Neurospora crassa OR74A: one gene and its partners. The protein of the gene in region 4 purifies or fractionates together with the protein of the main gene of each other region. This does not show direct contact. Links are inferred from orthologs where the notes say so. Each region holds a gene or a part of one and is shown on either strand. Other genes may lie near its edges.

The links.
Region 1: the proteins of NCU08323 (region 4) and NCU00301 purify together in Saccharomyces cerevisiae (affinity purification with mass spectrometry, with the first as the bait; 3 studies listed by BioGRID). This does not show direct contact. The link is inferred for Neurospora crassa OR74A from reciprocal best matches to the Saccharomyces cerevisiae genes ENP1 and SAS10.
Region 2: the proteins of NCU08323 (region 4) and NCU01367 purify together in Saccharomyces cerevisiae (affinity purification with mass spectrometry, with the first as the bait; 3 studies listed by BioGRID). This does not show direct contact. The link is inferred for Neurospora crassa OR74A from reciprocal best matches to the Saccharomyces cerevisiae genes ENP1 and RRP9.
Region 3: the proteins of NCU08323 (region 4) and NCU01595 purify together in Saccharomyces cerevisiae (affinity purification with mass spectrometry; 7 studies listed by BioGRID, with this or other methods). This does not show direct contact. The link is inferred for Neurospora crassa OR74A from reciprocal best matches to the Saccharomyces cerevisiae genes ENP1 and SOF1.
Region 5: the proteins of NCU08323 (region 4) and NCU06047 purify together in Saccharomyces cerevisiae (affinity purification with mass spectrometry; 4 studies listed by BioGRID). This does not show direct contact. The link is inferred for Neurospora crassa OR74A from reciprocal best matches to the Saccharomyces cerevisiae genes ENP1 and RPS2.
Region 6: the proteins of NCU08323 (region 4) and ck-1a purify together in Saccharomyces cerevisiae (affinity purification with mass spectrometry; 8 studies listed by BioGRID, with this or other methods). This does not show direct contact. The link is inferred for Neurospora crassa OR74A from reciprocal best matches to the Saccharomyces cerevisiae genes ENP1 and HRR25.
Region 7: the proteins of NCU08323 (region 4) and NCU04348 purify together in Saccharomyces cerevisiae (affinity purification with mass spectrometry; 7 studies listed by BioGRID, with this or other methods). This does not show direct contact. The link is inferred for Neurospora crassa OR74A from reciprocal best matches to the Saccharomyces cerevisiae genes ENP1 and BMS1.

The regions. Positions count from the first base shown.
Region 1 is NC_026503.1:3,362,661-3,366,913, forward strand, and holds NCU00301 (Sas10/Utp3 family protein), read right to left. Parts: upstream 2,796-4,253; 5' UTR 2,647-2,795; coding exon 1,252-2,646; intron 1,194-1,251; coding exon 705-1,193; 3' UTR 501-704; downstream 1-500. Other genes in the region: NCU00302 (3-ketodihydrosphingosine reductase tsc-10), read left to right, coding at 3,325-3,480, 3,551-4,253. UniProt on the Saccharomyces cerevisiae protein: Primarily required at the G2/M phase. Essential for viability: involved in nucleolar processing of pre-18S ribosomal RNA as part of the ribosomal small subunit (SSU) processome.
Region 2 is NC_026505.1:3,791,120-3,795,285, reverse strand, and holds NCU01367 (rRNA processing protein RRP9), read left to right. Parts: upstream 1-1,366; 5' UTR 1,367-1,553; coding exon 1,554-3,443; 3' UTR 3,444-3,759; downstream 3,760-4,166. Other genes in the region: pcb-4 (proteasome component C11, variant), read right to left, coding at 1-167, 254-503, 578-735, 792-793. UniProt on the Saccharomyces cerevisiae protein: Involved in nucleolar processing of pre-18S ribosomal RNA. Required for efficient pre-rRNA cleavage at sites A0, A1 and A2, and biosynthesis of 18S rRNA.
Region 3 is NC_026502.1:2,998,055-3,001,755, reverse strand, and holds NCU01595 (SOF1), read right to left. Parts: upstream 2,490-3,701; 5' UTR 2,233-2,489; coding exon 2,227-2,232; intron 2,147-2,226; coding exon 1,115-2,146; intron 1,055-1,114; coding exon 755-1,054; 3' UTR 501-754; downstream 1-500. Other genes in the region: rpn-6 (26S proteasome non-ATPase regulatory subunit 11), read left to right, coding at 3,012-3,196, 3,269-3,351, 3,427-3,701. UniProt on the Saccharomyces cerevisiae protein: Required for ribosomal RNA processing.
Region 4 is NC_026504.1:2,401,673-2,405,899, reverse strand, and holds NCU08323 (bystin), read right to left. Parts: upstream 2,729-4,227; 5' UTR 2,565-2,728; coding exon 1,945-2,564; intron 1,884-1,944; coding exon 1,755-1,883; intron 1,692-1,754; coding exon 1,519-1,691; intron 1,451-1,518; coding exon 1,232-1,450; intron 1,178-1,231; coding exon 1,037-1,177; intron 961-1,036; coding exon 800-960; 3' UTR 501-799; downstream 1-500. Other genes in the region: NCU16789 (hypothetical protein), read right to left, coding at 282-357; NCU08324 (DNA-binding protein HGH1), read left to right, coding at 3,088-3,108, 3,179-3,328, 3,397-3,510, 3,584-4,227. UniProt on the Saccharomyces cerevisiae protein: Required for normal export of the pre-40S particles from the nucleus to the cytoplasm.
Region 5 is NC_026507.1:1,982,840-1,986,725, reverse strand, and holds NCU06047 (40S ribosomal protein S2), read right to left. Parts: upstream 2,403-3,886; 5' UTR 2,240-2,402; coding exon 1,964-2,239; intron 1,815-1,963; coding exon 1,557-1,814; intron 1,495-1,556; coding exon 1,231-1,494; 3' UTR 501-1,230; downstream 1-500. Other genes in the region: NCU06048 (40S ribosomal protein S30), read right to left, coding at 3,325-3,348, 3,413-3,546, 3,612-3,645. UniProt on the Saccharomyces cerevisiae protein: Component of the ribosome, a large ribonucleoprotein complex responsible for the synthesis of proteins in the cell.
Region 6 is NC_026501.1:7,561,987-7,566,145, reverse strand, and holds the start of ck-1a (casein kinase I), read right to left. Parts: upstream 2,801-4,159; 5' UTR 2,685-2,800; intron 2,538-2,684; 5' UTR 2,370-2,537; intron 1,755-2,369; 5' UTR 1,709-1,754; coding exon 1,697-1,708; intron 1,606-1,696; coding exon 536-1,605; coding exon of another isoform or gene 532-535; exon of another isoform or gene 421-531; coding exon of another isoform or gene 411-420; exon of another isoform or gene 408-410; coding exon 335-407; 3' UTR 1-334. UniProt on the Saccharomyces cerevisiae protein: Protein kinase which phosphorylates serine and threonine residues. Can use casein as a substrate. Phosphorylates elongator complex member ELP1/IKI3 on 'Ser-1198' and 'Ser-1202' which promotes the tRNA modification function of the complex.
Region 7 is NC_026504.1:3,692,578-3,696,772, forward strand, and holds the start of NCU04348 (ribosome biogenesis protein), read left to right. Parts: upstream 1-1,395; 5' UTR 1,396-1,495; coding exon 1,496-1,574; intron 1,575-1,632; coding exon 1,633-1,703; intron 1,704-1,769; coding exon 1,770-4,195. Other genes in the region: NCU16822 (hypothetical protein), read right to left, coding at 1-48, 120-266. UniProt on the Saccharomyces cerevisiae protein: GTPase required for synthesis of 40S ribosomal subunits and for processing the 35S pre-rRNA at sites A0, A1, and A2.

The DNA of each region.
Region 1 (4,253 bases), on a different chromosome or scaffold from region 4:
TGGTGGACTGGAAAAAAATAATGTGGCATGTCCTAATCATTGCTCTAACATTCCAGTGTTTCATCCCAAAAATTACCTCTACTTCTTGAACGATCCGTGTTGAAGATACCTGTACTGAAGATAACGAAATTGAAGTGTTCGGTTTAGGATGTTGTGTTTGTTCAGAAACTGCCCAATCTAATAATTTATCATGTGGTGGTGTTACATTTATCCAAAGTTGAGATTTGGGCATTTGCATTGATTCGTCTCAGAGCTCCTATTGGCTCCCTCGCAGGCCTTGTATCCTTTCCAAGTCAACATCGCCTTCGCTCTTTCGGAATCTGGCACACAAGAAATGCCAGGGAAGGGCACAGAAACGAAGAGGAACTAAAAATTGGGATGGAAAAGAAAAAGAAAAAAAATGAGAGGGATTCTTATATAGCCCTATTCTCAGACCCGGGGTTTACCATGAACCTGTACTAACACGATTGAACAGGGTGCGAGTACCGGCGACCTCCGGTGTTGAGAATACTGGACATTGTAGATATTGTAGATCTTGAAGAGGTATCAAGTGTGTTCAAGAAATACAATGCCATTGTGTGTGCAAGCCTGCTTTTTTCCATTTCCGTTGAGGCCATGATTATCAACAACCCAAAAATCTATACATGCATGATATACCCAGAGTACTACAAACCAGTCCAACAACCACGACAACCAGAGCCCTATCAAGAAAGCTTGATACTCTTGACCAAGCCGGTCTTGATACCCGACAGTTCTCCCTGGTACCCGCCCTTGCCCTCGCCGCCCTTGTACACGGCCTTGACGCTCTTGAGCTTCTTCTGCTTCTCCGCGTACTTCATCCTCTTCTTGACACGCGGGTTGCGGTTCTCCTTCTTGCGATGCGGCGTGAGGCCCTTGTTCTTCTGGATCTGGTAGTTGATTTGGCGCTTGCCGTCGGGGCCGATCGTCGTCTCCTCCACGACCCGGGCGCCCTTGGCAGCCGCCAAAGCCTCGTACTTGGCCGCCTTGTCCTCCTTCTTCTTGGCCGCGTTGTGCGCCACCATGTCGTAGTACTCGTCCTCCTCTCCGCGCACCTGCTTGGCAACGGCCTTGTCCTCGTCGTCGCTGTCGCCCTCGCCCAGCACGGCGCCGTGCTTGCTGTCTTTCTTGCCGCGCTTCTCGGCCTCGGCGTTGAGCCGTGCTTGCCTGTCTCTCTGCGCAAAAGTCAGTATATGACAACACGGCATGTTTTTTAGGCAATGGCCGACTTACAAATCTCTCACGGTAGGGAAGATCGTCATCACCACCGGCGTTGCGACCCGCATCCGCACGCTTGGCGGACTTGGACACAATCTGGGAGGTGTAGAATTTGAGACTCTTCTTGCGAGCAGCCTTCTCCTTGGCCACGTGAGCTTCAAGGATCTCCTCGTCACCAAAGTCGGAGCGCTCATCGTCATCGCGCTTGTCGACCTTGACAGACTTCTTGCTGGCCTTGGTTGCCGTCTTGGTGGTTTCAAGCAAACTGGAGAGATCGGCAAGAGACTGCTCGACAGCCCTGGCCTTCTTGGCCTTCTCGGCCTCCTTCTTCGCCTTGGCCTTGAGCTCAGCCTTGGATTCGCGCTTGCTCTTCTTGAGCATCTTCTTGAAGTCCTCCATATCGTCGTCAGACAGGTCATCATACTCGCCCTCATCTTCGGGTGGCGAAAGCATGCCGCTGGTCGAGGAGACGCTCTTGAGCGGCTTGAGTTCCTTGACCTTAAGCCAGGCCTCGCGACAGCTCATTAACGTGCCCATAACCTCGTGGTCCCTGAGTTCCGTAGGGCTGATCGTCTTGGACACACCTTGGCTGTCTCTTGCTGGCGAAGTCAGGATAGCGAAATAACTGGCGAGTGAAGCGATGTAACACCCAAGAGTCCAGAACTTGACCATCTCCAGAGACTTGGCAGGCTTGCCCTCGGCCTCTTTTTGAAGAGTTGTGAGAATCGGCTGCAGCTCCCTAAACTCCTGCGCCAGGTAGTCAAACTCGGGATATCGGCTCTGTAGAAGCTTGTATCTTTCTTCCGGCCCCATGTCCTCTGTGACTTCGATCTCGTTGAGTTTCTCGGTAATGACATCCTCCTCTCCCTCGGCCTCCTCCTTGGTTCCTAGCCATTCGCTCTCGTCAAACGCGAAATCGGCCTCGGACATTTTGGCCAACTTCTTGGCCTGGAGCCTCTTTGCCTCAGCCTCTTCCTCCAAGGCATCGGCCTCGGTCTCGATCTGGTCGGCATTGTAGTAGTCCTTTCTGGAGGAACCCCACCATCCTTCGTCACCTTCTTCCTCCTCTTCACCACCCATCTCTTCGTCGGAAAGTACTGTTGTCTTGACCTTCTTGCCCTTCGCGGGCGCGGCGTCTTCGTGTTCGCTCTCCTCATCGGATTCGTCCTCCTCGAAAACCTCCTCGTCAGAAGCCTCTAGGAACTCCTCCTCCTTGTCTTGGCGCCTGCGCTTGGATTGTCTGCCATCATCGCTGTCGTCAAAGTCGATGCGATCCTGGTTCTCCCAGTATTCGTCTTCGGAGTTGGCGACATCTTTGTAAGTCTTAACGGTAAGGCGGGCGTCCTTGGCATCGACCTCGCGAGGCTCGGCGGGACCGGTCGGTCTCGGGGCTTTTCTCTTCTTCGCCATTTTTGCGTTTGTGTCGCGGTTATCTATTCAGGCGTGTTGGATGGAGTTTGGCGCGACTGAGAAACGTTGACGTGAAGACGCTGCCAAAAGGCACTTGGAGATGCTCGTTGAATGGGCTGGTGGGTTCGTTCGCTAGGCGGGCAACAAATGTTGAAGCGGCAGAATTTTTTTGCTCTTGTCAATTTGCGATCCATTCTCAGCGGAACCTCGACCGCCCAGCTCCACTCTCATGCAGGCTGCCTAACCCCACAATTGAAGATGCTCCACAGTTACATCTGAAATGGTCAAAGCTTCCATCCCGTCCTCAGGGTCGACGGGAAGCTCCAAGATGCCCCCCAGGCCTGCCAGATTTACGTTGACATGACCTCAATGGGTTCAGTTATGACAGTAGAGAAAACCGCTTCTGAAGACTCGAAAACGCAAACTCCAGCAAATGGTTCCAGAAACCTCATTTTCCTACGGAGTGCGAAGAAATCGGTCGAATCATCACCCATCAACAAGTCACTTACAGACAGGGGTGTAAGCTCCAGTACGACGGGAACTGCTGACAGCATCCACTAAATTTACGCCGTAGAGGTACTCGTTCGTACTCTAGACGTATACAGAATAGCTTAGGCGCCGCCGCGTCAACAATTCCACTTTCCTCGAGCCCGATCTTCTTTCACGATCCAAGGAAGGATGAACCATTATCTCTTCTCAGAGTCGCTGATGGAACAATTGAAAACCCTCAGCACCTCCTGGTCTCTCCCAGTTGCAGCCGTCGTCGCGGCCATTGGCATATTTGCTACAATGGGTCTCTTCAGCTCCAAAAACCACATGCCAGTCGAGGGCCGGGTATGCGCCCCGAAGCCTCACCCGACCTGACCCGACCTCCAAACAACACTAACTCAACCCCTGTTACCAGACCGTCCTCCTAACCGGCGCCTCCGAAGGCATGGGCCGCTCAGCGGCCATCCAACTTTCGCAAAAGGGCGCCAATGTCATCCTCGTCTCGCGCAACGTCGGGCGCCTTGAAGAAGCCCTCGTCGACGTCCGCGCCGCCGCCAAGAACCCGTCCACACAACGCTTCACTTACATCTCAGCCGACGTTTCCGAGCACGACTACGCCGCCGCGGTCCTCGCCGAAGCTATCGCCTGGAATGGCGGGCGCTCCCCGGACATCGTCTGGTGCGTGGCCGGCATGTCGACGCCTCTGCTGTGGACCGACGATGGCAGCATGGCGGCCGCACGCCGCAACATGGACGTCAACTACTTTGGGTCGGCGGAGATGTCGCGGGCGATTTTGAGGGAGTGGCTGGCACCCGAAAACAGCACGGGACCCAACGGAGAGCCGAAGCACTTGGTATTTACCGCGTCAATGTTGGCGCTTTTTGCGATTTTGGGCTATGGCCCGTACACCCCAACCAAATGGGCGCTGAGAGGACTGGCGGATACCCTGGCGATGGAGGTCAATTACTACCCAGATAACCCGGTCAAGGTGCACATTGTGTATCCCGGCACGATTGTATCACCGGGCTACGAGAGGGAAAATCAGACGAAGCCGGACATCACGGTGGAGCTGGAAAAGGACGAGCCAGCGGAAAGCCCGGATACGGTAGCAAGGAGGG
Region 2 (4,166 bases), on a different chromosome or scaffold from region 4:
CGATATCGATGATGCCGTCCTTCGTTACCGCCTTGACCGTCATGCCCTTGAAGTCTATGGGTAACCTCCTCTTGAGCTCGTCGGTGCACAGGTTGAGAAGCTTGATACCCTGGTGGAGGGTGATGTCTGGGTGGTGGTGCTTGTCGAGAATCGAGAGGCAGTAGTATCTGATGAGGAAAGAACCGGTCAGTGATTCTGTACATGACTCCTACGCATCAAAGACGGTACAGAGATATCGGTCGAGATCACATACTGTGCGTAGCCGTGGGCGGCATAGGGGACCTTCGCCAACGACGCAAGGTAGTCGAGCCAGTAGAGGCTGGGCTTGTGGGTGATAGGGTCGACACCTCCGAGAAGGAGGTTTACGTTGTAGGGTTTGCGGGAGCGCAAGCTCGTCGCAAGCTCGCCGCGGACAAAGTTGGCAAGGGCAGAAGGGGAAAGGTCGGTCCCGTTGCGCATGGAGTAGAGCTGGGCGTTGGCTTGGGTGTACTCGGCGAACTGCACTGTCGATGGGAACAAACAGTTGGTTAACTTGGTTTGGTTCAAAAGCGCCATCATCACGATATCGCTGCCGTACCTGTGTCGCCAGCTTCACCGGAGAATGCCATCAGTGTGTGCTTGTTCAGCGACCTTGTCTTGTCGTCGGATGCCTTCAGGATGGTCGCTCCCCGCATAGCGGCCTTGGACGCCGCAATGATGGTAAAGTCCTTGCCCGTGATGCCTAGTAAAACCTCCCTACATGCTGATCAGCTCTGATATCACCTCTCCAAGACATGACCGATGCGACGTACATTTTGGCTGATTGTTATGTGAGTGAATGGATGATATGCTGTTGTTTTGGTAAGCTTTGGCAAGTTGCGTTGGCTTGCACGGTTCTCGTCGTTACCTACCTATGGCGGGACAGGGCAGTTGGAGCTTGAACTGACGGCGACGGGGAACGCGCACTGGAGCTTCAGCCTGCAAGCTGACAAGACAAGCACGGGCCAGGCTGTTCAGGTGCCCGCTATCGTCTTCCATCTTTCCATTCCAGTCCCCAGAAGGGCTGAAAGCTGCAACCACTGGGCAGGCAAGCAGACAGCGAGAGAGACAGCCCCACTCCGTCATGAAACCTGCCAGGATGGCCCGGGGACGTCTTTTGGAGACAGCAAGAGCCTCCCCACCAGCCGACTACTAACAGCTCGCTAGCTCGGTTCCGCGTGACAGAGCCCCTATATCTGTTAGTGACGCAATAAGGTAGAGTGCACGGCACGGGGATTCCCTTCTCCGACTCGTTCAATTGTGCCAAGCCAGTGGAGGAGATCTTGACGAATCGGCGTGCTACTCCACCGATAGAAAGCCTGCAGGGTGGGCAACTTTTTTTTTTCTTCGAAGTCCATCGGGTCGGGTGTGTCTAGGCGCGAACGGCCATCCCAAAAATTTCAACTTTGATAGCCATGCAGCAGCGTTGAAGTGAAGCCGAACGCGACCCCAATTCACATTCCAGTGTCATTCTCTACCACCAGACGACTCCAGTGCATTTGCACCGACCGCCCCGGGCCGCAATTGCCAACACCATGTCGTCCTTTTTCACAGCACCCGCTGGGGAAAAGAAGAGGAAGCGTGCCTCTGCCAACGAAGCCCCCCAGAAGCGAGTTGCGACTGGCAAATCGACTGCCAAGTCATCGTCGGTCAGAGGCCCTGCCGCCAAATCACGTCCCGCAGCCCCCAAGAAAGCCGTTGAGCGCGACGAGTCGATATCCGGCAGCGACATTGACAGTGACGATGGCGACCACATTGAGAGAGAGGACGGGTCGGAAGGAGAAGAGGAGTCGGACCACGAAGGAGAGACGGCGGCTGAGAAGCGGTTAAGATTGGCACAGCGATATCTGGACAAGGCACGACAAGAGGTGGAACTGGAGGACGAGTATGCCTTTGACGCCGAGCAGATTGACCGTGATTTGCTGGCCGAGCGTCTTCAGGAGGATGTGGCCGAGGCCAAGGGCAAGGTTTACCGCCAGTTGGCTTCCAAGCTCGACTTTGACAAGGCCGCACACACACAGTTTCGATGGAATTCAGGAACGGTAACATCAGTCTCGGTTTGCGCGCCGTACGCTTACACCACCACGAAAGACGGCTACCTTACCAAGTGGAAGCTACAAGACCTACCCAAGAACCAGTGGCCACAGACGACCAAGAAGAAGCCAAAGAAGCCGCCTGCGCCGCCCAAGAAGAAACCCGAGAGAGTGTGCTTCAACAGGGCGAACCCGATCAAGGCAAAGGACAAGACATACCAGGGACACACCAACGCGGCCATCCTGACGGTCAGGGCCTCTGCCGACGGCAAGTTTGTTGTCACCGGCGGCGCCGACAAGCGAATGGTCGTCCATGACGCCGAGACCCTCAAGCCCCTCCGGGCCTTCACCCAGCACCGCGACGCCGTTACCTCGCTCGCCTTCCGCCGCGGCACTAACCAAATATTTTCTGCCTCCAAGGACCGGACAGTAAAAGTCTGGTCGCTCGACGAGCTCGCCTACGTTGAAACACTCTTCGGCCACCAGGATGAGATCCCCGACATCGACGCTCTGGCCGGCGAGCGCTGCGTGTCCGTTGGCGCGCGCGACCGGACCGCCCGCTACTGGAAGGTTCCCGAGGAGTCGCAGCTCGTGTTCCGCGGCGGCGTGTCGGAGAAGAAATCCCATAAGAACCGGGACCAGGCGGTGAACCACGATGGCACCATGGACCAGGTGGCCATGATCGACGACGAGCTCTTTGTGACTGGCGACTCGGCCGGCACGCTCTCGCTGTGGGGCATCAACCGCAAGAAGGCGCTGTTCACGCAGCCGTGTGCGCACGGCATCGACCCGCCGCTCAAGCCGACCGAGGTGTCTGCCGACGCGAATCCGGACGAGAGCGTGGTGCCCACCCCGCAGCCCCGCGCCATCACCGCCCTCCGCACCATCCCGTACTCGGACGTCATTCTCTCGGGCTCCTGGGACGGCTTCGTGCGCGTGTGGCGCCTGAGCGAGGACAAGAAGAAGATTTTGCCTGTTGGCGTGCTCGGTTCCAGCACGGCGCTGCAGCAGCTTGACCAGGCCGAGGCCCAGAAGCAGAAGGAGGAAGCAAAGCAGAAGGCAAAGGCGGAGAAGGAACCTGCAACCGCAAGCAGTGGGGAGGAGCAAGCGGACGACGAGGCCTCGGTGGATGGGTCGCAAGACAAGAAGAAGAAGCAAGAGAGCGGGCTGATTAGGGGTATCATCAATGACATTGCCATCTTCGAGCGCGGCAACCGCGGTCGCGACGGCATCTGCATCGTGGTCGCCACAGGCAAGGAGATGAGGCTGGGAAGGTGGAAGTACATGAAGGAAGGAAGAAACGGCGCTACTATCTTCGAGGTGCCCAAGGTTGCTAGGCGAGCGGGGGCTAAGGGGGAGGAGAGCGATGAGGAGGAAGAAGAGGAGGAATAGAGGAAGAAGATGGGAACCATACGTACGTTTGTTCTGTCTTGTTTTGTCTACCTCGTTTGACGGAGCGGGACATGGGAGAAACGCGGAGAATGAGGAAGAAGAGAGCCAAATAATCATCGCCTGTTGAAATTTGTTACAAAGTGCTCTGGACGTTATATCGCATTCGCGACAGCCAAGCTGTTCATAGACAAAGGAGAAGGAGAAAGTAGAAAGAGCAAGTATTGTACATACCACACTATATCTTTTAGGTAGCCTCACTGCATTTGAAGGGAGTTGAAAAGTTTCTGGTCATGAATCCATTCCACTAGATTTCCGATTAAGTTGTGCCACACAGAGCCATTAAAATACTATGGAATCTCTCACCAATATATCATCAAAGGGATGGTAAACTTCTTGTAATGTGCTCTCCGTGGAAAAAAATATCAACAGAGGATTGGTAGTTTGTTAGATCACGCTGCGCTACTTCTTCCTCCAGCACAAGGTTGAGGCTCCATCATCTAGCTCGAGACTGAGATGGCCACCCGACTCAAAGGTACTCCTCGAGGCCTAGCTGGACGTCAATACCGCCAAATATTCCGCCTGCATGATAAGATGTACAAGACTTGGGGAGTTCGAGAGTTTCAACTCCAAAACAATCAAGCAACGAGCTTCAAAAAAGACAACGCAGCCATGCTATACCAGCCATCGAGGCCTCAAGACCATGCAATGCAAATGGGCAGATGC
Region 3 (3,701 bases), on a different chromosome or scaffold from region 4:
ATACCCAAAGCCCGGAGGTGGGCTCCCATTTTCTAAGGGCACAACTACAACTAGTTTGGTTGTGTTGATGGCTGAGCCACACTCCGACTGCTGTTTGCCAACCGGTCTTCGAGCCAGATCGAGACAGGAGAGCCATCTACTTGATCCAATAACGCAGGCCGCGCTAGATCTAGGGTAGCCCACATCAATGGCCACGGATGAGCCACAAACGACCCGTATCCTTCCCTCCAACTATCCCAACCCACGCCGTGACCGTCCGATTCCATGTCGTTCGTTCTTCTTATCCAGGCCATGAGGTTCATGCCAATGCTGCACGATGTTGACGCCAGTTTCTGGGTACTGGTCAGGTCCACGAAATCGACCGTCTGACTTGTGGGAAATCAGGTGAACCTTGATCAACCGGAAAGGAGGAATCGAGGAAAAAAAAGTGACCATGCAAAGAGAGTCAAGCAGCGAGGCCGGAGTCCACAGGGCGCCTGAAGGAGTGGTGTAGGTGTTTTGGAAGAGATGGGAAGACATGGTCGCTTTGCTTTGCACATAGAGACGAACACAGAAACAAAATACTATCGAATATGTGGTATCGAACTCCGTATAGACCGAGCGAGACTCCGCTGCCTGAAAGTCTCATCAACAAATAGCCTGACAATTTTCCCACTAAGAAACGCCGCCCAATGCAAAAGAAAATAGTAAACGCATAGCGTGAAGCGCGAGAGACCGCACAAACCATGGCACACAAAAGCCAAGAACACCGCAATTACTCCAGCTTGGCCAGGATAGCCTTCTCTCTCTCTGCCTTGCGCTTCTCGAACTGCTTGACGGAGTGTTTCCTCTCGTTCTCCTCCCTTCTCTTGATGGCCGCAAGCTCCTCGCGCTTGATCTCGGCCGCCTTCTTGACCACCTTAGGCAGGTGCCTGTGACGGGAGATGCGCTTGATCTCGGGCATGTGAGAATACCTCTCGACCAAGGTCTTGTTGTACTCGAGCGCCTGTCTCTGCTTGGTCGCCTTGACGCCGCTGCGTTCCGAGGCATTGGCACGCCACAAACGGACGTTACCCTGTATATCACGTTAGCTGTGCTGATCGAACAGTTGGAGAAAAGAAAGGAGACAACGTACATCGTCACTACCGCTGAGAAGGTACTTGGAATCCATAGTCCAGGTAGTCCGGAACACCCTCTGCATACGCTTGGTGTGGTACACATCGCGAGACATGCCCTGGTCACGGCGCCACACCCTGATTGTGCGGTCATAGGAACCAGTCACGAGCTCCTCGCCGGTAGGAGAGAACTCGACGTCCATAACCGCCGCAACGTGGCCCTTTTGGATATTCTGCGCCTTGGTGAAGTTCCTGGCGTCGAAGAGGTAGACGTTGTGATCTTCTGAGGCAACAGCCATGTTCATCGCCTCCATGGGGTTGAAGACAATGCGGTTGGCGGCGAACTTGAGAACAGTCTTGATGACGGGCATGTTGGTGCGCAAATCGAACAGAATAACGGAGCGATCTGTGCCGACGGAACCCACGATCGAGGTCTCAACCTGGTTGAAGCAAACATCGGTGATGGTGTCGCTGTGGTTCGGCCACTGTATCGTCTGAGGAGCCGTGCTGTGCTCGAGATCCCAAATACGAATGCAGCCGGCGCCCGAAGAGGCAACGAAGGAGTTGGTGTTGCGGTGGAACGAGAGAGCCGTGTATGGACCACCTTCCTGCCATGTCGCGAGTGGCGTTGGGGAGTCGGTCTTGGTGTAAGGGTCCCAAAGCTTGATGCCGTCGGTGGCACATGTGAGAAGCTTCTTGTCGTTGGTGAAGGTCATTCCCTTGACGATATTGTTGTGGGCGGCAGCCTTCCATGCTTCATCCCGTGTTGTGAGATCCCAGACCTTGACGATACCGTCACCCGAACCGGAAGCGATTGTGTGTAGCGAGTTCTTGTCCTTGGCCATGCTGTAGACACCCTGAACGTGGCCATTTCCTAGCTGGCCGAGGAAGGGCTTGGCGAAGACTCTCTCCAACTTGACGGCATTGAGGGCTCTCTTGTACTCGCGAGCGCGCTCGAAGGGATGGAGTTCGGGCGCAAGGTTACGGGGTGCGCGGGTGACGTCGTTACCGGGGGCCTGCTGGGCCGAGATGTTTCGGCTGAGGGCTTTGATCTGTTGTAGAAGTGTCAGTGGTGAGCCTAGAAGTGGGTTTGCGAATCTTGATGGGCGTCGCGTGTGGTAGGCCCAAGTACCTTCATGGTGACGGTGTTTCTCTGTTGATGATGTTGAAGGGGTCGTGGATGAGAAGGCTACCAAGGCCGACGGATATCGAGTGTGAATAATTGTATATGATGAGGCCGGGTATGGCTGAAGTCTGTCGGTACACCTTGTCGCAAAGCACAGGTGCTGTGATACAGTTATCGACGTTGGAATTAATGAATGGATGGATGGATGGATGCCGGGAGCGTCTGTCGCCAATTGGGGAGCACAGTCGGACACGGGCAGTTTGACAGCTCCCGTTCCCCTTCCTCTGGAGAAATTTTGGCGGGGTCTGGCGGCAAGAATCTTGACCGCCTTCTTGGCAGTTTGCTAAACGCTTAGGCTTGGAATGTTAGAGCTTCGCTGCCAAAAGGATGGACAGGGCCTGAGCTACCGAGAGCTGGGCTTGCCTGCCGTGAATTGACAGGGATCTGTAGGTGGATGTCTCCAGCTAATTACGTCGCGCCTGGCTACCTAGCGGTGGTACGTAGTGTACAGAGGTCTCGTTAGTGGACATGCCGCCTGCACTTGACTTGGGTAACAGCTGTGCTCCAGCAGAGGACGGGTGGTGAGGTTCGTCACGACAGAACAACCTGAGCTCCAACTTCAACACCACAACAACCACAACTTCCAAGCCGACACTCTGCGACCACCGACACGCCGCATATCCCCCCGCGACCTCGAGTAATCACCATCACATCCAATCCGATAGCCAAACTCTCGATTTATACTACTACCGCTTACCACTTGGCGACCGGGACAACCAGCACACGACACCATGGCCCAGGGCGAAGCATCAGAGAGAGTGCGCGAGGCGCAGAAGGTGGTCTCGACCGACCCCCGCCAGGCCGAGCAGATTTACAAGGATATCATCTCCAAGCCGCCATCAGTCACCTCTGACGCGGCCATCCGGGAATACGAGACGGCTTTGATTCACTTGGGAGAGCTCTATCGCGACGAGAAGTAAGAGTGGCTGGTGTATGTCGTGGTCATCGAGGAGGGGTACGGTCACTAACCTCCCATCACCGTGTACAGGAACTCACAAGGCCTTGTAGACCTCGTAACCCAGAGCCGCACAGTTCTCTCCTCGTTCGCAAAGGCAAAGACGGCAAAGCTTGGTACGACCCCGCCATCAGCTTTGTTGACGCGCTATACAAGCTCATGAGGATACTAACACTGGTTGATACATGCAGTCCGCCAGCTCCTCGACCTCTTCGAAGCCATCCCCGACTCTCTCGACATCCAGATTTCCGTCACCAAGTCGTGTATAGAATGGGCCACATCAGAGCGCCGCTCTTTCCTCCGCCAGAACCTCGAAACCCGTCTTGTCGCCTTGTACATGGCCAAGCAGTCCTACTACGATGCCCTGACGCTCATCAACGGTCTCCTCCGTGAGCTGAAGCGCATGGACGACAAGCTCGTCCTCGTCGAAGTCCAGCTGCTCGAGTCGCGGGTATACCACGCCCTC
Region 4 (4,227 bases):
AGGTGGTGTCGGGATTCTTAGGCGAAACGCCAGAAAGCAGCGCCGAAAATCCTGATCTTGCGGAAATACTGAGTAGAACTTGGTGTCTCGGGGTAAGAAAGCAATCTCAAGAATAAATAGGGAAACGAGAGGGGCGGAGTGCTTAGAATGTTCGGGTTGACCGGGTGTTAGGAAGAGAACACTAGAAACTCGTATGGTAAAAGCACCTAATACGGGATGATGCCATCAGATACACGAGATATCGAAGTAGGCGAGAGCTACATTGCCTTCTTTCCCTTTACACTGTTCTCTCAGGATTCCGACAACGTGGCAGAGGATCGCGGTTGCCTTGGACTTGGAAAAATGGGAGAAGGGCATTCCAAGCCAGATTGACGCAACAAAGAAGTCAAAAGGCAGCTTCCTTCACATAACTGAAAATGATTATTCCAAGGCTCCTCGACAATTCCTGTTGCTGTACCGGGTATCTTGAATTTATAATTTCGTGCACTAAAGCATTACAGGTCGTCAACAATTATGTTGCTGGTTGGTCAGCACCACTAAGATACAAAGGGTAGTACATGGTGACTGACTTGGCATGACCACTTCCTCTTCAAGCGGCGTGATGAGTAGTAGCCACTGTCGAGGCGTGACATAGTATTATCAAAGGGGTCAATGTCTAAGGACTGCCCCAAGCCACCAAGGTCACTAAACAACACGACTCCCATCTCTATGCGCGTACCAGGTAAAAATGAGCCACATGTCCTCGTTGCATACCAAGGGTTCATCGTCTATAAGTCATTACCGGATCACCGATGTTTCTTCAAGCGTCCAGCATCGTGTCATCGCCATCAAATCCGGGTTGCGCGACAGGGACACCACCTCCGCGACCTGCGAGAAGTTCTCGCCTGATCTCGGGCGAAATCTTGTCATGGCCGTGAGTTAGGAGAAGATCCAGGAGAGCCTCTCGCTGGTCCTCAGTAACTACACAAAGACCGCGGTTAGTACTCAAAAATAATAGGGACGCATAGTGAAACAGCGACGGAAGAAGCAAACTCACTGTTCGTCTTGTATCTCTGTGCAAATGAGAGCATGCACTGATGGAAGATGACTGGTAAAGCGTTGGGTGCCATATGCCCGCCGGTGGCGAAAGCGGGATACCGAAGAAAGTGGAAGACGAGGGCATCGAGCGCTTGGAAGGCTGTATTACAAAGTCAGAGAATACAATCATTGGCACGCTAGGAATTGGACTTACGCAAGGCGTGACGTTTCTCAATCAGAGTCTTGAGGAGGAAATTCGTAGCGCTAACGCAGTCGAGGCGCTGAGAAGCCTGCGCAGAAGAAATTTCGCACAAGCCCTTAATGGCCATACCGGAATGAACAGCCGGAATGGTGACCCGGGTCAAAACACCGGCTACGATCTGCGCCTCACGCAGCGAGCACGTTCCGGAAGCCGCCAAAGGAAACAAGAAGCCTGCCAACGGTTAGCTGGGTTGTCCCTTTTGAGCAAACCTGACTAAGCGTAGGCAGTAAATAACACACCTTTGAAGAAACCACCAGGCTTGTAGAGGGCCTTTTTTAGGGAGTTGAAAAGATGGACATTGAGCTTCTTGGTCTCGTGAATGTCCTCGCGGACGCGTTCTAAGATCACCATCTCCATAAACCGTTGAAGAACAGCCTCCTTGGCGGACGCAAATATCCTGGTGGCCGCGTAGCTAACAATCGCAAATGTCAGCAGCGTTTCTCTGGCTCCCGAAAACAGGAAGAAGCAACCATACCAGGCATTGGGAGTCCAGGACTCGGGTTGTGTAATGGGCAAGATGTCCTCCCAGTGGGGGATCTGAGGAAGGACCTTGAAAGGCTTGGGAAGCGGCCCAGATTTGTAGCGAGAAAGAATCATGCCAATTCTGCGAGAAGGAGTCTGTCAGTAGTCTGCCAAGAGGGTAACAGAAATAACGGCCAGCCTACTTCTCAAACACTTCCATCACCTTTGGGGGGATCTCGTAATCCTCATCAATTGGGCCAGGCTCGTCGCGGTACCCGCCTTGGGGGCCGCCGGCTTCCTTCTCTGCGATCTTGGCAAGAATAAGGTCCGCCAGGTTCACGCTCTGACCCTGCTCTTCTGCCCCTTCTGGCTTTCCATCCCATCCGTGTGTTAGGAGCGGGTCCTCGTTCATTGTGGGTGTGATAAACTGGTTGAATGTCTCGAGATCGGTGGCGTCGACTTCGATTTCCTCTACCTCCTCCTCCTCTTCCTCGCCCCAGGCCTCGTCGTTCTCAAACTTGTCGTCTTCGTCATCGTTGCGGTCGAATCTCGATGGATCGAACTCGAACGCCGAAGGAGCAGATCCGGAGGCTGCGTTTTGTGTTGTCCGGAGGTTCTCCTCCTCCTCGATGAGGCTACGGCTCATAGCCAAAATGTTGCGCGAAGCCTTGGCGTCGACATACTTTTGCTCATCTTCGTCGTTGGCGGCGCGAGTGTTCTTGCTCTTTTTGCCGGAGTTGTTCTTAAGGACGCCGGTAGAAACGAGGTCGGCCTCGAGGGGGTTGTGGCGCCTCTTCGACGTCGCCGCTGTTGTCTTGGGCATCTTGAATGGCGGTAGGGTTGTGCAATCGGGGGAAGAGTTGATGATACGGAGCTCTCCTGGTTGTCCCCTCTCTTTGCGATGTCGACTTGGCTGCACACGGCAATTGGGGATATTTTTTTCGGCGACCCTTGGACAATTTGTTCCCGCCGTGGAGAAGTCTGGGCACTTGAAAGGCTTGCGCTACGCTTGTGGTTGGTCACTTCTTTGCTGTGTGGGCACACTTTATTTTCTGATGCCAGGGCGGTGAAAATGATAAGCGGTACAATACCTCTTATCGCTTATCGTCTAGCTTGGACGCGCCCGGCGGAGCAGCGATAAACATTTTATTGCCCCGCATTTTCGTCACTGTGCCCCTCTTCGGTTGCAAATTCCTGGAATTTTGTTCCCTGTGTTTACAGTTTTTGCAGCTTGGCCCACTGCATGAATAAGAGCAAGGGAAGTCGCGACATCATAGCCTCGCTCGCCACGGTTACGAGCTTATAGCAAGTCCAATACAACCATACATCCAGCTACCATTGATAACATGCCGACCGAACTTGAAGAGGTAATTCTGCCAGAACCAGTGCAGTGTCAATGTCAGTGGACAGACAACTAATCGCTATAATCGCCTGAAGCTCGTGGGCTTCATTGCCTCGCCGAACGCCAACATCCGCCTTCTCGCGACAGAGAACCTGGTGCCCTTCTCAGCGTCTCAGCCCGCCCTCTTCAAGACCGACGAGCTCACCCCCATCAAGCATCTCAAGTTCTTGATCCGCGACCACCCGGTAGGCCCAACAGACTTGTCTTGTTTGCGCCCAAGCAGCTTCAGCTAAGACGTCGGTACCATGTGCAGAAAATCGCCGAGCACGCCCTAACATGCTTGATCAACTTGACTGCCGAGAAGGATGTGCTGGAATACGTCGCGACCGATGATCGCTTCCTTGGAATCCTCCTCGGGCTTCTTGTCGTATGTGTATCCATTCTGAGCTCCTACGGTGCGTGCGCAGCAAGGACTAACCGCTTCGATCCCGTTCCTATAGGAGCCCGAGGAGGTTAACGCCAATCTTATGGCTATGTTGCTGGCAAACTTGACCAAGTGGGATGGACTCAAAAGTCTTCTAGACCGGAAACAGCCCGCTCCAGAGAAGCTCAAGTCCGACGATAGGGTCATTAACCAACTAATGGACCTCTTCGTCAAGGGCGCCGACGGGACTTACAACAAGCACGCCGATTACGACTACCTCTCCTACGTCTTTGCCGACCTTTCGAAACATGAAGAGATCCGGCACTACTTTGTCAACAGACAGGACTACGACGATGTTATTCCAATCAACAAGATCAAGGTCTTTACCGAACACAAGTCCGATATCAGGCGAAAGGGAGTGGCGAGCATTATCAAGAACGCTGCTTTTGACATTCCTTCGCACCCGGCGTTTTTGGATGAGGATGACGTCAATATCTTACCCTACATTTTACTTCCTATCATGGGCGGCGAAGTTTATCCCGAGGATGAGGCATTGGAAATGCTTACCGATCTTCAGCTATTGCCTCCAGACAAGCAGCGCGATCCCGACAGCAGCAACATCCTGACACACCTAGAAACTCTTACTCTCCTCACCACAACGAGAGCTGGCCGCGATTTGATGAGGAGCATCAGTGTTTACCCCATTGTTCGGGAAACCCA
Region 5 (3,886 bases), on a different chromosome or scaffold from region 4:
CTGACCATTGTCGTACCGATGTTAGAAAGACTGGTCGTCAGTGAACCCAAGATGGTGTTGAGCAACGAGATGAGACCCCCGATGACCGCCGAGTTCGATTCGAGTGGGGTTGCGGCACTACCAGTACTTGTTGTAACCAAAAGAGTAGTTTGGGCTGGAGGATTGAGCACTAAAGACAAAATATCAGGATCGATTATCAGGCCAGGGGCACCCAATTCGTCTGACTTGGGCTCCTGAGGCTCACCATTTTCTACCTGGCGGTGGACATGTCGAAGGGCCGGGGTTGTTCCTGTCTCCTTGCTGTCCGAGACATGGTTGGAAGCGAGGCTGATGGGAAGAAGGAGTAGGGGTAGCAGGTAACGACCAGCGGACGGCATGGTAGCCAGAAAACGACTGTGTCTACCCGAAAGAAAGAAAAAGGAAAAGAGGCCAGTTGTGTAGGTAGTTGATACACTTCCAAGGGCAGAAGGCCAAAGCGGTTCCAAAACTCACAAGTCCAAAACCCGTGGTCCAAAAAAAAAAAGAGGGAAACGAACGGTGCTCGGCCTAGCAGAGTATTGGTGATGGAAGAGAACATGGAGAAGAGTAGAAAAAAAAACATCAATTGGGGATTGAGAAAGATGATGCTCTTTTGTCAAGCCGGAGAAGCGATTGCTCTTTCCCAGTCAACTCCTGCACAACCGCCATCATGGGAAAGGGGCAAGACCAACCGACCCCTCGAGGAACAGTCACGAGTGACTACCTAGATGGTATCTCAAGGTCAAGTCACGAGTCCCTTCCTACCGCGCTGCCTCTCGGACAGGCCATTTCCAGTATAGAAAGCAACTTAAGTGGAAGGCTACCTACCACTCCAAGCTTGGTCTCTTGTACGTGATTTCTGTGTGAACCGTGTCTGCTGAGCTGTTAGCAACCGCGAACCATACAGCATGTTAAGCTCGCAAACCAAATAAACAGCTGTCCGTAGTATGAGCAGCGACGACCCTTGACCGCATGGAACACATTGTCCCACAACGCTACCATCCATAACATTCACGTTGATTCGCTATTCGAATGGGGGCTTTGTCGTTGTTGGTCATTTCATCAATTTTGGGACTCAGGCCGATCGCACTAGGTATTTGGGACAACAGCCTTCATCTATTCCATTCCCGGAGCCCATGCAATCAAATAACCACAGACGCCCGAAAGAATCCTTCCATCCTCGCTAGCTGAAAACAACTTTCAACCAGTCGCTTAGTTGGCGTAACGCTTGCCCTCACGGAGGGTGTCGGCGAACTCCTCAAGAGGAGAGCGGGTCAACTTGGTCTCCTTCCACAAGTTGGGGGTAAGGAAGCCATAGGTGTTGGAAACAGCGGCGAAAGTAGCCTTGAGAGTGTTCTCAAGGGTCTTGGTAGAGCCGGAAGAGGAGGTGTAAGCATCCTCGATACCGGCGAGCTGGAGAAGACGCTTGACGGCGGGGGAGGCAACGAGGGAGGTACCACGGGGAGCGGGGATAAGCTATGAGGATCGCAGTCAGCGCCAGTTCCAGCTTCTCGGGTCAAATTCTGGGTATAACTTACGCGGACGGTGACGGAACCGCACTTGCCAGACTCCTTGACGGGGAGGGAGTGGGGGAGACCGAGGTTGGCGCCCCAGTAACCGCGACGGACGGGGATGACGCTGAGCTTGGCGATGATGATGGCAGCGCGGATAGCAGTAGCGACTTCCTTGGAGGTCTTGATACCGAGACCGACGTGGCCCTCGGAGTCACCGATGATGACGATGGCCTTGAAGCGGGTACGCTGACCGGCACGGGTCTGCTTCTGGACGGGCTTGATCTGCAGAGGGAGAAAACAACAATATCAGCATGCAGTTTCGTGGGGTTTCAAGCACAGTTCCCCCCAATGTCGTCGCGAATCCTGCGATTCTCGCTCCTCCCCCTCCTCAACCTCATCCTCCGGGCATCAAAGAATTCGTTGCTGCGCACCTTCATGACCTCATCCTTGAGCTTGGGGAGGAAGAAGTCGACGATCTGGTACTCCTTGATGGGGAGAGAGTGGAGGTAGATCTCCTCCATGCTCTTGATCTTGCCGGCCTTCACGAGACGGCCAAGCTTGGTGACGGGCTGCCACTCCTTCTCCTCGGACTTGCCGCCGCGACGGCCACGGCCACGTCCACCACGGCCACGGCCGCGGTCACCACCACGATCGCCACGGGAAGCGAAGCCGCCGCCACGGGGGCCAGAAGTTCCACGATCAGCCATTATGTCGGTTTGCCGGTAGGGTATCGGAGACGGAGGGTCTGTTGCTGGTCGTCGTCGTGGACTGGTTGAGGAGTGCAGATACTCGACGTTTTTCTCGGGCGCCTGGTGGGGGTCGCAGCTTTTCGCTGCGATTTCTGGATTTTGCTGGTGCGCTCCGCCTTTGGCACCAACCCTAACGCCCACCTCATTGGCTATCCGCGGGTTTTGTCCCGCCTGGCAGCCGAAAGGTGGGGTAGATTTGGGGTTACAGCTGTCAGGCTTGGCATGGACAATGAGTGTGCACGGACCAGGCTGTCTGCTTCTCAGCCCAACTGCTTGCTGTAGCTACCTACAGGGCTGGCCGTCGCACCGTCAGTCCCGCCGCGAACTTGCAATCGTGAACCTTGAATGCCGGGGCAGTTTCAACCCGTCATGGGCAAATTGAAGCCCCACTGCGATCATTGAAGTCCATCCCTCCCTCTGTAGGCCATCGGGGTTCTCACTCTTGTCATTACCAACGCGTGGAGATTTCAGTATCGGACTCGTGTCAACAAATCTTTCAATTTTGTCGATAGTTGTTGCGGAGTTCCTCACTGTCGCTACAGATTCCCAGTGAACACCCGATATCAACATCCATTTGCAAATGCACATTACCTTGTCGCATCATCAGATGGTTCAGTGGAGGTGTTCGTCTCTTAGTTGCGACATGTGCCTCCAGTCTGTCGGTCTCCATAGACTCATAGAGGCATCCAACTCACACAGAACGACCTGGTATTGCACGTTCCTCTTCCAGGGATCACACGCTGATATGATCAAGAAGAGAGCCGTTTTCTGAATAAGTGCCCAAAGGGCAAATCGATTTTCCTATTGTACCTAGCTGGAAGAAGGGGGCATCATCAGATTCCATCAAAACGCCTTTGCACCGGAAACCTAGCCTATAGTAGAGGATGAACTGAGTACCCAAGTCCAACACATGCTCCTGCGTTCCCGATATGCCCATGGCCATGACCATTTCCCTCGTAGGTAGAATCAGTAAACGCCTAGAGACGCCATGAGATGCTTGCTTGCTTATTTGCGAATGAGCAACATTCCAAAAGATAAGCCCTTCAAGCAGAGGGGTTGGCGTTCATCTGGATTCGATGATATGTCAGCACAACTGCGACCTGGAAGCAAAGCGTGAGTGAGCCCTCCTACCTTGCGCTTGCCGCCAGGACCGGTGACAACGTTCACGAAACGGCGAGTGTAGATTTCGCGCTTGTGAGCACGGCCCTTGGGAGTCTTGGGCTTTTCCTGGGGCTCAACCTTGGGAGTCTGAGACTTGACCTTGCCTGAAGATGGGTGTGAGTTTTGGTGATGAAGGTGTGGCGAAATGGCATCAAAAACTGCAACTTACCGGCACGAGCAAGGGAACCGTGAACTTTGCCCATTTTTAATGGTAGTGATGGAGTGGTGGTGAGTGGCTTTTTGTGACTGTTTTTGGGTGAGTATTGGACGGCGAATGGGCCGAAAGGGGGACAATACAAGGGTTTAGAATGATGTGAGGAAGGGACTCGGGATGTTTTATACCTGTATCTGGCAGGTAAGATATTCGGCCGTGTCAAACATTCACCGATGACTCCCGTCTGTTTTATCGTCCCGAAAAGGGCAGTCGGGAGCCAACCGCTACGT
Region 6 (4,159 bases), on a different chromosome or scaffold from region 4:
AGACAGATTCGACCAAGAGTCGAACTGCACTGCCGCCATAAACCGAAGATCCGTCCGAGCCATGAATAAGGGCAGTAACTGATAGAGATGCCGAAGAACGAAGAGAAGCAATCTGTCGCAAGTAATCCGTCTGGCTGTGTAGAGGAGATGCATCGGTCGATGGTGCTGGCCAGGTACAGCCATCCGCTTCCACTCCATCCAGACGCTCGAGGGACGTTGGATGACGAAAGGCGGGTGCAGGAATCAAACCATTTGACCAATGCGCAATCTGCTACTCCAACAACCCGCCGAAGATCTTGTTCCAAGTAGATACCATGTGCGAGCAACCGCAGTCTCATTCCATAGGACGATACCTGCCGGCCACATGTCCGGAGCCAGCGCCTTGACCTTTAGCAGCCGAGCGCAGCCTATTATCGCAAACTGAACGTCAGCCATCATGTCAGCATTCTACCTCCGGCCAGCGTTATTGAGTACACCAAACTCGAAGGAAACAAGATTCCTTACTAGGAATGCTGGGCTAGGCTGGCAAACTCACATCCTGTCGCTGCCACCGACGGCACGGCTGGTCTCAGGTGTCTCGCCGGTCATGGGCTTCCTGGATCCGCTCCTCAGGGCCTGCTGAGGGTCCTTACGAGCAGCAGCCTGGGCCGCCTCCTTGGAGTCCGCAGGCTGGGGCTGGCTGGAGTTGCCAGCAGCCTGCTGGATAGCCTGGGCGTTCTTCTGGTACTTGTAGACGGTCCAGTCAAAGACGTAGTCATACTGGAAACCTTCGCGGACGAACAAGTCACGGAAGATCTTGCGGAGATAGCTGTAATCAGGCTTGTCATCGAAGCGGAGGGAACGAGTGTAGTTGAGGTAGATGGCAAACTCGTTGGGGAAGCCGCGGCAAAGAACCTCGGTAGGAGTGGTCATCTTCTTCTCCATGATGCGGTCGTACTTCTGCTTCTTGGTGGCAGCCTTAAGGCCCTGCCACGGGAGGGAGCCGCGGCAAAAGTAAAGCATGACGTAGCCAAGGGACTCCATGTCGTCACGGCGAGACTGCTCGACGCCGAGATGCGTGTTGATGGAGGCATAACGGGCAGTGCCAGTAAGGTTCTTATTCTCTCTGTAAGGAATGTGGAAGTGAGTCTTGGGATCTCTGTACTTCTTGGCAAGACCAAAATCGATCACGTTGACCTGGTTGCCACGCTTGCCAATCCCCATAAGGAAGTTGTCAGGCTTGATGTCGCGGTGGATGAACGACTTGGCATGGATGTACTCGATGCGGGAGATGAGCTGATCAGCAAGCAGCAAGACAGTCTTCAGAGAGAACTTGCGGTTGCAGAAGTTGAACAGATCCTCCAAGCTGGGGCCAAGAAGGTCGAGGACCATGGCGTTGTAGTCACACTCAGTGCCGAACCAGCGGACAAAGGGGATACCAACGCCACCGGCGAGAGACTTGTAAACGCGGGCCTCGTACTCTAGTTGAGGGTGTTTGGCCTTCACGCTCTCCAGCTTGATGGCAATCTCTTCACCGGAGATGATGTTGGTGCCGAGGTAAATGTCACCGAAAGAACCAGAGCCGATCTTGCGACCGATCCGGTACTTGTTACCGACGCGGAGATCCTAGCCTTCCAGTTAGCAGGATGCAACCTTTGACGTTGGCAACCAAAGGCCTAGGAGGCCGTGGTGATTCGGAATTGACGGATAAGCGTACCATGGTAGTCATGTTTGCGGTTAATAGGGGAGAAAGACGAATCCCAGAAGATCAGTAACTATAGCCGATAGATGTCAGTAAAAGGGCCATCAAGGTACGCATACGCAACGATGTCGAACGCTGAGCTGTCGAGAAAGGCCAGTGTCGTCCCAGGTGTTCGGGTGGGAGTCCTTGCCCGGCTCGGTCACAATAGGTTGTTCGACTGCTCCATGAAGTGGCCCATGTGTCAATGGTGACGGCAACATTTCCAGAAACCTCTGCAAACACATCCACATCGTGCATCGCCCTGGAAGACGGAGCGTCTGGACGGCGTGACAACACTGTCCATCAGGGCTATGTCGACACGGACGTGTTCAACGATGGCCTGGGCGACGCTGCCATCCTTGGGGAGCATTGTAGTGATGCCATTCCCACCATCATGCCAAGAAGGGTGTCGAGGCTATTGAAAAGCCTATCAAGTCGGTGTCGTGACCGATGGCGACGGTGTGCATCCGGGCAAACAGCGGGCAAATGCGGCCAGCGCGGGCAGATTGGTTGGCGGACGGGCCAACAATCAGCTCACCGATACATGGCGGCAGCTGAGTGGAACCACCACAATGCGTGCAGCAACCTCCCTCGCTCGCTGGGAACGACAACCCGTCTGACGGAAATGATGATGGAAGTTTTAACTCACTCTTCGGCGGGATGTGTTCTCCTTTTGTAAACGGTCGTCGCAGACCGAATGCTGTGCTCAAGGGTCGTCGAGACCAGGATGGCAATGAATAATCGAGAGGGGCGTGCGTGCCGAAGAAGGCTGCTTAAGTGATGTTGGAGCGTCGGGGGCGATGAAATGCAGCTCAATCTGTACGGGTATGTGTTAAAATGCAGTCGAGACGAAGCGTGCAGCGGCAAGCTGATGGACGCGGGCTTGGTGTTGATGTATGGTGCAGCATGCGGGGGAAGAAAAAAAACAAGAGATTGTTTTGGTGGTTGGGGTAGGTTCTCTTACCGTCGTCGTCGCCGCCGGGAAATTTTAGGTCGTCGGTGGTGAGACGGGGGGCGAGGGAAAGGACGATGTGAAGAGGGAAACGAGACAGCGAGAAGGGAGGAGGAGGCAGTTTGGTGACTGGGACCGACTGGGACTTCTGGACAGCCGACCGACCTGGGGGACTGGGGACTGGCAGGATTTGAGACGGCAACGCCAAGTGCCAGCCAGGCTCGCCAGATCGACCAGGCCCAGCCAGCGCGCGCTCTTTTGGCTTGGTTCTTGGCGGCATCCAGCTGGCGAACTGACGGGAAGTGGAGGAGCCGTGATCCACCGCCGCCATCCACAGTGTCACAGTGCGGGCCAAGCAATAAGCCGGACACAGTGCCAAGGTGAGCGAGATGGCAAAAAATGACTGGAGCTCTCTCACTGCACCGTCGGACAGCGAGCCACCTCAGGCAAGGGCCAGGCGTCCCAGGCCTGCCAGCCCAGGGCATTGGAGGGCGGAGTTTCATGTGGCTTCTGGGCGCGCCCTTTTCTCTGGCAATGTCCAACTGTCATCCAAAGATCTCCGAATGCAGGCTTGCTTTTCAAACAAACAAAATCTGCTGATTTGCAGTTCCCCAACAGGCAAGGCAAGACGCCGGCAACACCTTACGACGGCAGGATAGGATGCAGGCGGCACTGCAGTGGACATTGCGTGGGCAAGGCAAACGTGCTGCGGTAAGGTAAGGTAACCGAAAGGCTTATACTTGATGATGCGGGCAGGACCGCACCGTACCTCTACCTCTACATACCTCTATTTACGAGGGAAGGCATGATACACCGCGCCTCCCATATTACGCCCTGTGAATGTGGAAGAGGTCGGAATGAAGGCTCAGCGTTTTGTTAGGCAGAAACTGGACGGGGCCCAATAGCCAATCCAGTGCCAAAGTGCCTGCCTGCTTTCAGTTCGTTCTCTTGCTGTACGCAGTACTATTGAGAGTCTGTGCTGTATCATATTAGCTTGGTTGGCTCCCGGTCCCAAAATTAATACTAAATCTGACTGGTATACGTTACAACAGCAATTGCGACAAATACGACATCCATAACCCATCCGATATCAGCTTCGAAGAGAATTGAACGGCACTTTGATCAAGTCAGGTGCCTTCTCTGACTACTTTAGAACACTACGCAGTACACATTCTGTGACCAATGTCCCGCTTCTTCCCCGTTCACAACTGCATCATTGTGATGTTTCACTATGGAGACTATACGACAGACGGAATGCAGGAGCCCTCTTTCAAAAGATCAGACGAAGGGACCAAAACACAAGCAAGGCGCATCGTTCAACCATGGCGGGATTGACAGCTCGGTGTAGTGTACATTCTGCGTACGACAGGGCTCTGTACCATAATCACACAGACAGTCGTTTGCAAAAGCGATCAACATTCCCCACCCCGTGGGACAAAACCTCTGCGACTGGCGTCCCGACAGCTTGGAACATACCGAACAAAAGC
Region 7 (4,195 bases), about 1.3 Mb from region 4:
CTTGGTCTTGGCGATCTCCTCATCGGTAGCGGTGTCCTTGAGGGTAACCTGACATAGTGAACAGCTGAGGTCAATAAGAGTCTTATGGGTAGTGTGAGGCGCGAGTGCGGCATGCTTACAATGTAAGAAGGCATCTTTGCGGTGGTGGGAGGGTTGTTTGGTGAAAAAGTTGGTGTTGCTGTATGGAAATGTTGAAACAGAGTGTAGTGGTTGGTCGTGAACTTGGAAAGTCGGTACTGCGTCTCGAGGAGCGGACGAAGGAGCATCTTATACGTGATCAAGGGACATGCACAAGTGGACTCGAACTACCTACACCACAGATGCACATGTGCCAGATAAGCGGCAATCATGCTAGATTGGTCTTCCTGCCACGCCGTCAGGAGCCACAAGTGACGCGGCACCAGGGACATTAGCATTCTCTGGAGCGGATGATACGTCATATCCACTTGGACCAGACTTGCTGCGCCTACCGCAGGTCGTTTTGTGACTTGTGACACTCTTTTGGCTGCCAGGCGTGGGGATGACAGAGACAATCCTTCATCTCAGCGCCCAACAAGACAGCCTTGCACACAACCACCTAACGAGCGCTTAGGCGCGGGCTGAGACACTAGGAGTGGTGTGGGAGGATGGATCCAGTCATCTTCCGACCATCTTGCTACTCAGGATCTTGGATGTTGTTACCTATCTGTTGTAACTCTGAGCCTAGCCTATACGCCATACCCTCCTCATGTGTGTAAATCGGAAACCCTCCTTCCCGCGACAATTACGTATGTAACCCTCAAAATGGTGTGTTATGCAAGAAGGGCTGCCATGGCCCATGGCTGTTTGACTTTGCGGGCCCATTCGACGTTCCTATGTCGAGGCCGCAAGTTATCAACTATGATAGCTCTTTCATGGTCTCGACTCTTCTTCAACCGTTTGTTGGGAGGTCCCTGAACAATCCAATGCATTTACATAGCGTGGTATGTAGTCTCCACCAGTGAGGGAGGGCTTGGTACAATAGAGGTAGTTAGGTTGGTCATGCTCAAGACAGCACAAGATATCTCAACCACCCAACGGAATATCTTCGTATAAACCTTTGGAAATAGTTACTCCGAAGACACAGCTCACCCAGTAGTTGGTTGAAGATAAGAAACGGGACTATACGTTGGGTTCGTCTGTTGTTCAAGGTTCCAAGACTTGAAGGTCGGGACTGCCTGTCAGGGTCTCCAACTCCCCGCATGCTGCCACTGCTTAGTAGCGGGTGCTGCCGGGGATAGGTCCCGTCGCCTGCCGCGGAAAGAGGTCCCACTATTCAGGTATCTTATCGCTTATCGATAAACGTCTTGGCGTTCCATCAGAAAACCGACTATCCAAAAAATTTGGACAGCAGCTTTTTGGCAGCAGTTGAATTGGGAGCGAGTCCCGTCGCATTTCCACTTGCACCTGTTTTCGCGACCGCGTGTCCATCTATACTACTGAACTTGCAAAAAGTTCACGGACACCAGCCGTAATCATGGCCGACGTCCAAGCCCACAAACCCCATCGGGCTTCCAAGAAGTCCAAGGAGAAGGGGGCCTCCAAGCATACAGGTGGTATGTGTATTCAATTGTTTCTTTTATCGTTACTATCCACAGCTGACCGTCCCTGCAGAAAAGAACCCCAAGGCCTTTGCCTTCTCCAATCCTGGTAAACTCGCCAGACAAGCCGCCAGATCCCACGATGTAAGAAGACATTCCCTCGCTCCATCCTTCAATGACTTCTTATAATTAACTGGTCTTGTTCCGCAGATCAAAGAGAAGCGTCTTCATGTCCCCGCCGTCGACCGTCTCCCCGATGAACCACCCCCAAGACTCGTCGCCATCGTAGGCCCCCCTGGCGTAGGAAAGACCACCCTTCTCAAGTCTTTCATCCGACGATATGCAAAGGAAACCATCCAAGATCCGGTGGGACCTATCACGGTCGTCACCTCCAAGAAGCAGAGATTGACCTTCATCGAATGCGCCAACGAACTCGAGGCCATGGTCGATATTGCAAAGGTCGCCGACATTGTCCTTCTCATGATCGATGGAAACTTCGGCTTCGAAATGGAGACTATGGAGTTCCTTAACGTTCTTGCCGCCACGGGTATGCCCGGCAACGTCTTTGGCATCCTCACCCATCTCGACCTGTTCAGGAAGCCCCAAGCACTAAAGGAGGCAAAGAAGAGGTTAAAGCACAGACTTTGGAGCGAACTCTACCAGGGTGCCCACCTTTTCTACCTTTCCGGTGTCCTGAACGGCCGTTACCCCGATCGCGAAATCCACAACCTCTCCCGCTTCTTGTCCGTCATGAAGAACCCCCGCCCGCTCGTTTGGCGCAACTCCCACCCTTACACCATCATCGACAACTACCGCGATGTCACCCACCCCACCCAGATTGAAGAAGACGAGAAATGCGACCGAACGATTGAACTCTCCGGTTACCTCCGTGGTACAAACTTTTCCGCCGAGGGCCAAAGGGTACATATTGCTGGTTTGGGCGACTTTACAATCAAAGAGATGGAACAATTGCCGGATCCTTGCCCGACTCCCGCTATGGAACAAGCGCTGGCCAAGGCCAGTGGCAAGACTGGCAGAAGGCGACTCGACGAGAAGGACAAAAAGCTCTGGGCGCCCATGGCGGACCGCAGCGGCTTGAAAATTACTGGCGATCACATCGTTATCACTAGGGAGAACGGCTTCACATTTGACAAGGATGCTGTGGGCATTGAGCGCGGCGAAGGAGAACAGCTCATCATCGACCTGCAGAACGAGAGGCGTCTCCTTGGTCAAACGGACGAGGGTGTCAAGCTGTTCGCGAGCGGACAAAAGATCAACCAGCTCCCTGTCGAGGACGAGGATGTCGGAAACACTGGCCGCAAGAGCCGAAGAACCGCCAGACTTGCCGATGGTGAGAGTGGTGAACCGCCAGAGGACGAAGGCTTCGAAAGCGGAGAGGAAGATGAGATGGAGGATGGATCCGATGTCGAGTCCGAGTTCAACGAGATGAAGCTGGGCAAGATGTTCAGGAAACAGACCGACGACGACCAAGAAGAGGACATCGCCTTTGCCGACAGTGACTCCGACCTTGGTTCGATATCCGGCGATGAAGACCAAGGATCCGACTTTGACGATGACGAGGACGACGAGGAGGATCCTGAGCTCAAGTGGAAGGACAACATAATGGAGCGCGCAAGTCAGATACACGGAAGGAGGAAACCCTTCCGCGCTGTCGACTTGGCGAGGTACATGTACGACGAGTCGATGGCCCCCACAGAAGCCATCAAGAAATGGGCCGGTCAAGACGACGAGGAGGAGATCGAAGAGAATATCGAAGAGGACGACGAAACCTTCTTCCGGAGGACTGGCAAGGAGGACAAGGAGGACTCTTGGGAGGATCGCATGATTCCCAAGTTCGACTACGAACAACTAGAAGCCAAGTGGTCTGACAAGGACGCTGTCGAGGCTCTCCGAAACAAGTTCGCCACCGCCAACCTACTTGACGACGCTGAGGGCGAGGGCGAAGATGGTTCGGATTTCGAGGGTCTTGATGACGAGGACGACGATGATGAAGGTGACGGTGCCTTTGAGGATCTCGAGACAGGGGAGAAGCACGGCGCTGACGACGAGGATGAAGAAGAAGAAGAGGAGGAAGGAGAGGAGCAGCCAGCAGAAAGCCTTGAAGCCGAGCGTGAGAAGAACGCCCGCCGAAAGGAGGAGCTCAAGCTTCGCTTCGAAGAGGAAGATCGTGAAGGTTTCAAGAACGACAAGGCGATTGCCAGGCGAGAAGGTGGCAATGATGACGAGTTTGGAGAGGACGACTGGTATGATGCTCAAAAGGCCATGATCCAGAAGCAGCTCGACATCAACAAGGCGGAATACGAGAACCTTGATGAAAGCCAAAGGATCGCTGTCGAAGGCTACAAGGCCGGCAAGTACGCCAGGATGGTCATCGAGGGTGTCCCAGCAGAGTTCGTCAAGAACTTTAAGCCACGGATGCCGATCGTTGTCGGAGGTCTTTCGGCCACGGAGGACAGATTCGGCTTTGTGCAAGTTAGAATCAAGAAGCACCGTTGGCACAAGAAGATTCTCAAGACGGGAGATCCCCTCATCTTCTCCCTCGGCTGGCGCCGATTCCAGTCTCTTCCCATCTACTCCATCTCTGATTCTCGGACGAGAAACAGGATGCTGAAGTA